Linked DNA regions of Mus musculus: region 2 is reported to be linked to region 1. Evidence: microRNA targets listed by miRTarBase, many of them from high-throughput screens and not tested one by one. Region 1 holds a microRNA gene; the other region holds the end of a gene's coding sequence.

Region 1 (4,068 bases):
TTTTCAAATTGCTGTGATGGAAGGAGGCACAAGTAAGGTTCTTCTGCTTTATGAAGCACTCATTCTGCAAATGGAGATCAAGCCAGCAGGAAATGATGATGCTTGATTTAAAGAAATGGGTGAAAAGATAATGACATTTCAATGAGCAAGGAACTTTCAACTCATAGCTTAGTCGGGGAGAAGTCAACCCTCAACTACCATCTACTTGCAGACAATCTACTTACTTCCATGGCAAAAAAGAGAGAGGGAGACTCCAAATCATCTCTGAGAAGCCTCATAATCCAGTGTCTCCCTTTCCAGATGGATCAGCACCAAGCCCTAGGAAAACACCTGACCGAATAGGTCAGTACAGAAAGGTACCTGCTCCATGCTAACACTCAGTACAGAAGGGTACCTGCTCCACACTAACAGTGGCTTCTCCAGTGCTGAGACTGAAAAACAGTGACAGTGAACAAACAGTATCACAGCACAGGGTCATCACTACACTGATGAGCAGCCAGCTCCAGACTAGGGGAAAAAATACATTTGCTTTAGTGGCAGGGTGAACTGCTGCCTCCTTCAGAGGGTGTGTTTTGGAGAGTAGGCACTTTTAAAGGACTTTAGGAGGTGCCAGCCAATTTGGAGCTTGGGAAAACTTCATGTCTACAGAGAATTAAAAAATGCTATCTTAGAATTTCAGGCCAGCTTTCAGCAATCTCAACCTTTTAAATGCCAGGCAGCAGCTGTCCTGAATAGGATGCCAATCAATAGCTCAAACACCTACAAAGAACTAAAACCAGGCAGCTAAAGGAGTGTTCTTGCTGTATACCTTTTAAAGGGAGATGGACTAAGTATAGTGGTCCATGCCTTGAATCCCAGCACTCAGGAGGCAGAAGCAGATAGATCTCTCCGAGTTCCAGAACAACCTGGTCTACACAGTCTAGTCTAGCCAGGGATACACAGGGAGAGCCTATCTCAAAAATCCAAACCAAACCAAAGAACAAAAGAGGGAGATGGGGTAGACCACCAGCAAATCTAACACCCTGACAGACCCAGAAGAACAAACAACTTTGGAGGAAGGTATAGGTCAGCAGCTCTCAACCTGTGGGTTGTGACCCCTTTGTGGGATGGAAAGATCCTTTCACATGGATCACCTAAGACTACTGAAAAACAGATAGTTGCATTAAAATTCATAACAGTAGCAAATTACAGTTATGAAATAGCAATGAAAAAAATTTTATTGTTGGGAGGTTATTACAACATGAGGAACTGTATTAAATGGTGCAGCATTAGGAAGGCTGAGAACCACTGGTATAGGATAATAACTTTCTCTTTAGTCATCTATTCAGCAGGCAGCCCATAGTGAACAATCAGTACAATAAGAGCAATGCCTGACTGCATCACAGATCTTACCACCTTGTCTTTAAAGGAAACTCCTGGTGGATACATGGGAGCAAAAATCCAATAAGGAAAACAGGCTCATGGTATTATCAGCTCCAAACGAAGAGAGACAGTCTGAGTTCTTGTGACTTCTCAGAGAGAAAGGAAGTAACCCAAGAAAAGGAGACAAGTTCATGGGCACAAACCTGCAATGTCTCAAAGCCGATGAGCGCAGCCGGGGACGACTGTGGCAGCCTGCCGCTGTAAACATCCGACTGAAAGCTCCTCTCAACACCTTACAGCTTCCAGTCAAGGATGTTTACAGTAGCAAAGACTGCCCAGAAAAATAAAGAGCTTCAGTGAGGCACAACCTGCTCCCATAAGGAGGTGACCCAGGGCTTGCTAACCCAAAAACCCTCATGCAGGGTCAGAATTAATGTCAATTAGGATGCCCACTTCTCCAACAGGTTTTCTGACTGGTTATTTGTACAGGTCAACATGGGGAGAATGGTTGTCATTAAATGACTCTAAACAGTATACTACAAAATAATTAGTTAAAAACACTTATATTTTATGAACAAAAATAAAACAAGCAGGACATGGTATGGCTTTACTTCTCTGAGGCATATTACACTAAACCTAGTGAATCATGCAAACTGCGTGCCTGAAACAATGAGCTCTATAGGACTGGGGTCTATCACAATCACAACTAAGTTATATGCACCCAAGTGCTGAACAAAACAAATGGTGTGATCTTTGGAGATGAACAGGCAGAAGAAGGGCAGACACTTAGTTCTTGTAATTAAAAAGAAAAATGTAAATGGTGGTTCTAAAACTTCACTGGACACCAAAGCATCTAGGGAACTTTAATTATTGATTCCTGGGGTCATGGGGTCATAGGTTCTGACTCAGTGGATGATGGGTAGAGTCATCACACTACAGAGACACAGCATAGAGTAAGAAAATAAAAGCCACTGGCTCCAATCTGATCACTATGCACAAAGAGGTTGTTTCTTAGAATCTGAAAACTGACTGGCTGAAAAAGCTTTTATTTTAGATGAAGAAATCCTGAACTGAGCTTCACCCCACTATCTGTGACTAGTCTTTTTAACTTTGTTCTCTCACTGCAACCCCACCCCAGAGGCACTGAGTTAAAAGTACCCATAAATGAGTAGAAGGAGATGCTGAGGATGATCTGGACTACGGAAGAGAACCACAAACAAGAAATGCTTTGGGTGGGAGGGAGGGAGGAGCTCCGGAGAGCATCTTGCCCAGGCCCTGGAGGTGGCAGCTGAGCAAATCCTCCCAGCTCACCTGGCGCTTTGGAGGTTTCAGTTCATCTCTTGGAACAATATCGATGAGAAAGTCGAACTGATCAAATTTTGTAATTGCCATGGCAATATCATTCCTCTGTAACAAAGAAAAACAAAGTTAAAAACTGGCCTAGGAAGAATCTAGTTCTTTTGGCTGTTATCCTTCAAGTAAAAGGACATGATCCTCTCCTATCCCCTAGTCCCAGTGTCTGGGATTAAACCTAGAGCTTTACACAAGCTAGACAGGTATTCTACCATTGAGCTATGCCCCAGCCCAAGGAGATGACTTTTAGACTGTACTAAAAATCTCTAGGTTTGTCTAGAGCTAAAAATAAGAACAGCTCAATTTATATCAGACTTGCTGGACAGAAATCAACGAAAGAGATACACATATCTCGTGCTCTAGGCCAGGACATCTGAGCCCTACTCACCACTATTTCTGCTTGTTCTGGTTTCAAAGCTTCCATAAAGTTGTAAAACCACCATCCTCTGGCTAATTCAGGACAAAGCCAGCAGTCTCAACTGGCATTCTGTGGTCCACAAGGTCAGCCCATCATTCACTTGTATGATCTTTTTAAAGGCCCTAAGCACTGTTTGTTGTTGTTGTTGTTGTTTTTCTTTTTACAGGCACTTATAATCCAGTCGCTTGATTTTTATGTTACCTATGGGTTTTAGTTTAGAAATCAAAACTGCACTGCTTAATGAATAGTTTAATCCGAATTTGAGCCTGAATACTCAAGCCTGAATTTACTATAGGTAGGTAGTGAACACAGAGCTGAAAAGAATGTCACAAGTGGACTTTCTCTTCAAGTCTGATATTATTCCCCTTCCTTTGAATAATAAAAATCAACACTTTTTCTCCCATATGATTTGTGTACTTTATTGAAAGTTTTAAGGTTAAAAAAACAAAAACAAAACCACTAAGCTCAAGTGAGTGATATAGTTAAGTATATATGGGAAAGTAATTTTTGAAATGTATTTAAAAATAGATCACTTTATGGCTGAAGTGAGAGGTATGATAAATTTGTTTTTCTTACTTTATTTATTTATTCATTCATTCATTCATTCATTCATTCATTTCCCCCCTTCCCTTCTTCCTCTTGCTCCTGGGCCCCACTTGCTCCCGGGACCCACTCACTCCAGTCCATAGGTTTTTTTGTTGTTTTTGTTTTTTGTTTTTTAAAAGTATTATTATCTGTTTCTCATTATGGATGGTTGTGAGCCACCATGTGGTTGTTGGGATTTGAACTCAACATCCAGAAGAGCAGTCAGTGCTCTTAACTGCTGAGCCATCTCACCAGCCCAATTTGTTTGTTTTTCAAGACATGGTTTCTCTGTATAGCCCTGGTTAGTTATCCTGTGGCCTGCTAAAGTAAAACTTTAACAGCAGAATTTG
Region 2 (4,068 bases), not on the chromosome of region 1:
ACTTGGGAGGCAGAGGTGGGTGGATTTCTGGGTTTGAGGCCAGCCTGGTCTACAAAGTGAGTTCCAGGACAGCCAGGGCTACACAGAGAAACCCTGTCTCAAAAAAGAAAAAAAGAAAAGAAAAGAAAAGAAAATAGCTCTGGGCTTAGCATTGGTAAATTTTAGGTTGTAGAGGATGGTAGGACCTGAGATAGATTATAAATGGTATGGTCTGAGATATTATTTATTCAAACTTGTTATTTTTGCTTGGTGCATACACACAAATATTCTGCCCTGTTGGCAGGATCAAGAAGACAGGGTGCATTCATGGTAAAGTTCCATCAGCAACAAAAGCTTTCAATTTCCTTCTGCTTTTTCTGTTGCAGATGAGACAAAAGGACCCAGTGAAAGGAATGACAGCAGACGACTAGCGCCACCGCCCTTTCTGCACTGTAAGTACCGAGCTGTTGTCAGTGGGCTTGGGTCCTCAAGGCCAGCAGCTCCCTGTGAAATGAGAAAACCTACTTCATTCCTCATCTGGCACTCTAGGACTGATGGTCACTGCCGTGCTAACGAGGGGACTCCTGGGTTTCCATAGAAACAAATTATGGACATTGTTTATTTCAGGGGCTGGAAGACTTTTTACCCAGGTCATAGGGCTAACTTGGGGTGTCCCTTGTTATGCTGAGAGGAAGTTATCTGCTCAAAGAGCACCTTCTAGCACCAAGAGGCTAAGAAAACCTAGGACCTTTATTCTCTGGCTTTCCCATGGTTCTTTTTCACCCAGGCCTGTGTGCGTGCTAGCTAGGCAAGCACTATATCCCCAGCCCAACCCATGTTCTTAAGCAGCTTCTGGGGATGGAAGAGGAGGATTAAGCAGATGCCAGTTTTGTAGTCAGTGCCAGAACCTTAGTACTCTCTCTCCAAGGCCCCCACCAACTGGCACGCCTCCTCCTGGGATCTCTCCACTTGTCATGATTTACTGTGTGCTTCTGGTTGCCCTTGTTGCTTCCTTAATAATTTCTATTTCTTTTCTAGTTTTGCAAGACAGTGGTCAACAGGAAGGCCCAGCAGCTCCACCCTCCTGAGTGGCAGGCCATCTTCGGACGCAGCCTTTCTGTGCTCATTCTTCAGGCAACTTTCAATCCCTTACTATAGCTATTTCTAGATGCCCTTTAACATTGTGAACAAATAGACCGTCTGGTATTATAAAGCCTGTGTGTGCGGGAGCCTGATCCTCTAAGATACATGGTGTAGCTGCTGTGTTTACAGCTCATCCTCTCTCCACTGTGCTCTGACCCATTTCTGTATGCCCTCCCCTTTTATTTCCAAGTGATGGTCTCAGTCTTCCCAATGAGCTGCCTTTTGTGATGTGATTATTTAAGCTCATTTATTTCAGCCTTGGGATAAACTGAGCTATTTTGCTTCCTGGGCAGATCTTTGGCAATGCTGAATATTCACTTGGGGAGAGAGGAGGAGTTAAAAATACAGAGACACCTACCCCCAGCTCCTCACAATAGGAATGTGGCTTCAGACCCCTGACCTCTGCTCCTAGTAACCTCTTGTTTGCGTGCTCTAAGCACCAAGAAGGCACCCAAGGCCCAGCCAGTCTCAGAAAATTTAGCAAATAATAAATAACCCCTACTCGAGTCATTGCATCTCTGGTTAATATTCTTAGAAATCTTGGCTTCTCAGCCCTCCTGTTGCCCACTCTGTCTGGATCTCTCTGTAGAGCCTACAAGACCCCACCACTGCCCAGCTGGAGAACTGTCCAGTATGGCCTGTTGACACCATTCAGACCCCACAGGAGCGCTGTATGTCCGTGCTCCTTTTCCCTTTTGGGCTGGTGCTGCCACTCAGCAATAATCCTCTCTGTGCTTTCTTAGACCCCTGTCCTCTGTGAGGCTGGCTAGGATGCAAGAGTCCTGGTCTTTTCATGCTGCACAAACAAGCATGCAAAAAGCTTTTTATCCCTAGCAAAACATGTACCTTCCTGTTTCTAATCACTGGACAAGAATTTGCAGATAAAGAACTCAGCTCATCCTGCCCCACACTGAGTTCTGTCCTGGACAATCAAAAGCAAGCCGTGACTGTAGCCTGGAACAGTTAGCACAGCAGGCTGGGGAAGCCCAGGCTCCAAGGGAGTGGAAGCTGCAAAGCACTGGCTTTTCTAGATGGGCAGAAACTGAGGATGCCTTTCTGGTGGGAGAGTGGGATAGAATTGTGTCACCTGACATTTCCCAAGCCTTCTTCAGTCAGTCAGCCCAGTGTGTAGTGATCCAAGCCCATGATTGCCAGGGTACCTGTTAGAGACCAAATCTCTACTAGGGGAGTGAGAAGTAGGATGGATCGTTCTCCTTGTTTTTGTCTGTGTTGGCCTTACTCATTTCTAAGTGCAATAAGGCAGTGTCTCAGGGACTGCACCTGTGACATCCTGACTGGATGCTTCCCTGTGGTCCTCCTGGAATAAGGGTAGACAGATTTGGGCCCCTCAGCATGGTTAGCTCTGACCTTCCTTGAGGTTCTTTTAAGACCAGGAGATGTCTGGTTACTGACACCTTTCAAGGTATTAGTCTCCTCACCTTGTAGAGTCTTTAGGCATGCACTTGGGGCATCTTGGTGATTAGCATATCAGCTGCTAGTAGCATGGGAAAGTTGGAGAAGAGGCATTCCTAATGGAAATGGAAAAAACATAAATGTTCTCATATAAGCTCTGTATTACCTATCAAATCCTATTTGTGCTTAAAGATCTTCCTTCAGTAACTAGGTTAAAGTTCAGATGTGTTATCTTGAGAGAAGTTGATAGTCTACGCAGATAGTTTACATGATATGAGGGTCAAAAGATATTTGTCTCCTTCAGCACTTCATAAGATCTATACATATCAGTCACATTGGCCTCAATCCTGGCCTGCTCTTACCTGCCTTGCGCCCCTGCTGTTGCCCACATTTGAAAGCATCCAAATGATCCGAACTAGAATTTCCTGAGACCAGCCTGGATTTAGGGCTCCTGCCCACATAAACACAAAGGAGGAATGTCCCTGTCTTGTTCCATCCCCATGGGTGGTGTTGCTGCTGGACAAGTGTTGGCTTTTAAGTATCCCCTTTTTTTACCCACCCCCAAAATTAACTAGCACTCAAGAGGGCTGGTGATGAAAGGCTCACCTCTGGTGAGAATCCCTGAGAGTGCGACATGCTTCTTCAGACTGGCTGCTTCCATTACATTTCCAGGGTCTGCTTTACTCCCAGCGGGAGCAGCAGTGTCTCTGCACAAGGCCTGCTGGGCTCCAGCCTTCTTGTGGAGAGACACTGGGGAGGGACAGGTCAGGGTCACTGCTGTGGGCATGTGTGTATCCTTCCACATTCTTCCTTTCAGTCCCCCCTGGACCTCTGACGTCCTTGGGTTGGTTCTTAGTGCTACTTCTTTTACAGACTACACTTTATAGAACTGATTAGATTTCCTGTTTATTTAATGTGAGTTTGTGCCTTTTTGTCTCAATCTTCCAATACAGGTATATTGGGGGGAAAAAAGCAGTCTAATAAAATCCTAGACAGAGTTTTTTGGAGTCTAGCTTATTGGTGATGTTCCTATGTCCATTTTTCAACTTAGATGTCCTTAAAGCTCCTACTGATATCTCCCCAGTTTATTTACAGGAGAGGATTATGAGAAGATACAGTGGTATTTCTGACATTTTATGTAAATAAAGTATTCCTTGTCCAAAAAAGTCACTTACAGTATGGATTCGGGCTGGGGTATGGTATAGCTCAGTGGTAGTATTTACCTAACAGGCATTAAAAAAAAGGTCAATTAAAATAGTCCCATGTCAGCCGGGCGTGGTGGCTCACGCCTTTACTCCCAGCACTCGGGAGGCAGAGGCAGGCAGATTTCTGAGTTCGAGGCCAGCTTGGTCTACAAAGTGAGTTCCAGGACAGCCAGGGCTATACAGAGAAACCCTGTCTCAAAAAAACAAAAGACAAAAAAAAAATTAGTCCCATGTCAATTCAGTTTTCTTATGCAGCAGTGCACATCTGTAAGCCATTTTTGCTTTTGTCTCTCTTTTACTCTACTAAGCAATACATTTATTTTTTATT

What was found. The annotated mature microRNA mmu-miR-30e-5p reads UGUAAACAUCCUUGACUGGAAG and lies in region 1 at 1,662-1,683, opposite strand. An mRNA with a match to its seed (bases 2 to 7 or 8) in the 3' UTR can be bound and repressed. Matches are read on the target gene's strand: a 7mer-m8 pairs with bases 2 to 8, a 7mer-A1 pairs with bases 2 to 7 and ends in A, and an 8mer does both.
Region 2: the mRNA of Pitpna is a reported target of mmu-miR-30e-5p. Seed matches in the 3' UTR shown: 8mer at 1,243-1,250 and 7mer-A1 at 2,798-2,804.

Annotation. Positions count from the first base shown.
Region 1 is chr4:120,770,999-120,775,066 of GRCm38, forward strand. It overlaps Mir30e (microRNA 30e), which reads right to left and starts at 1,699; the gene lies at 1,608-1,699. It overlaps Nfyc (nuclear transcription factor-Y gamma), which reads right to left. Exons shown (of 10, transcript NM_008692.4): 5 at 2,674-2,769. Mir30f (microRNA 30f) reads left to right here and starts at 1,608; the gene lies at 1,608-1,699.
Region 2 is chr11:75,625,100-75,629,167 of GRCm38, forward strand. It overlaps Pitpna (phosphatidylinositol transfer protein, alpha), which reads left to right. Exons shown (of 12, transcript NM_008850.2): 11 at 366-431; 12 at 1,018-3,705. The coding sequence ends at 410. It also overlaps a transcript of Inpp5k not described here. Among named protein-coding and RNA genes, the nearest start is that of Inpp5k, 3.9 kb to the right of the region's middle.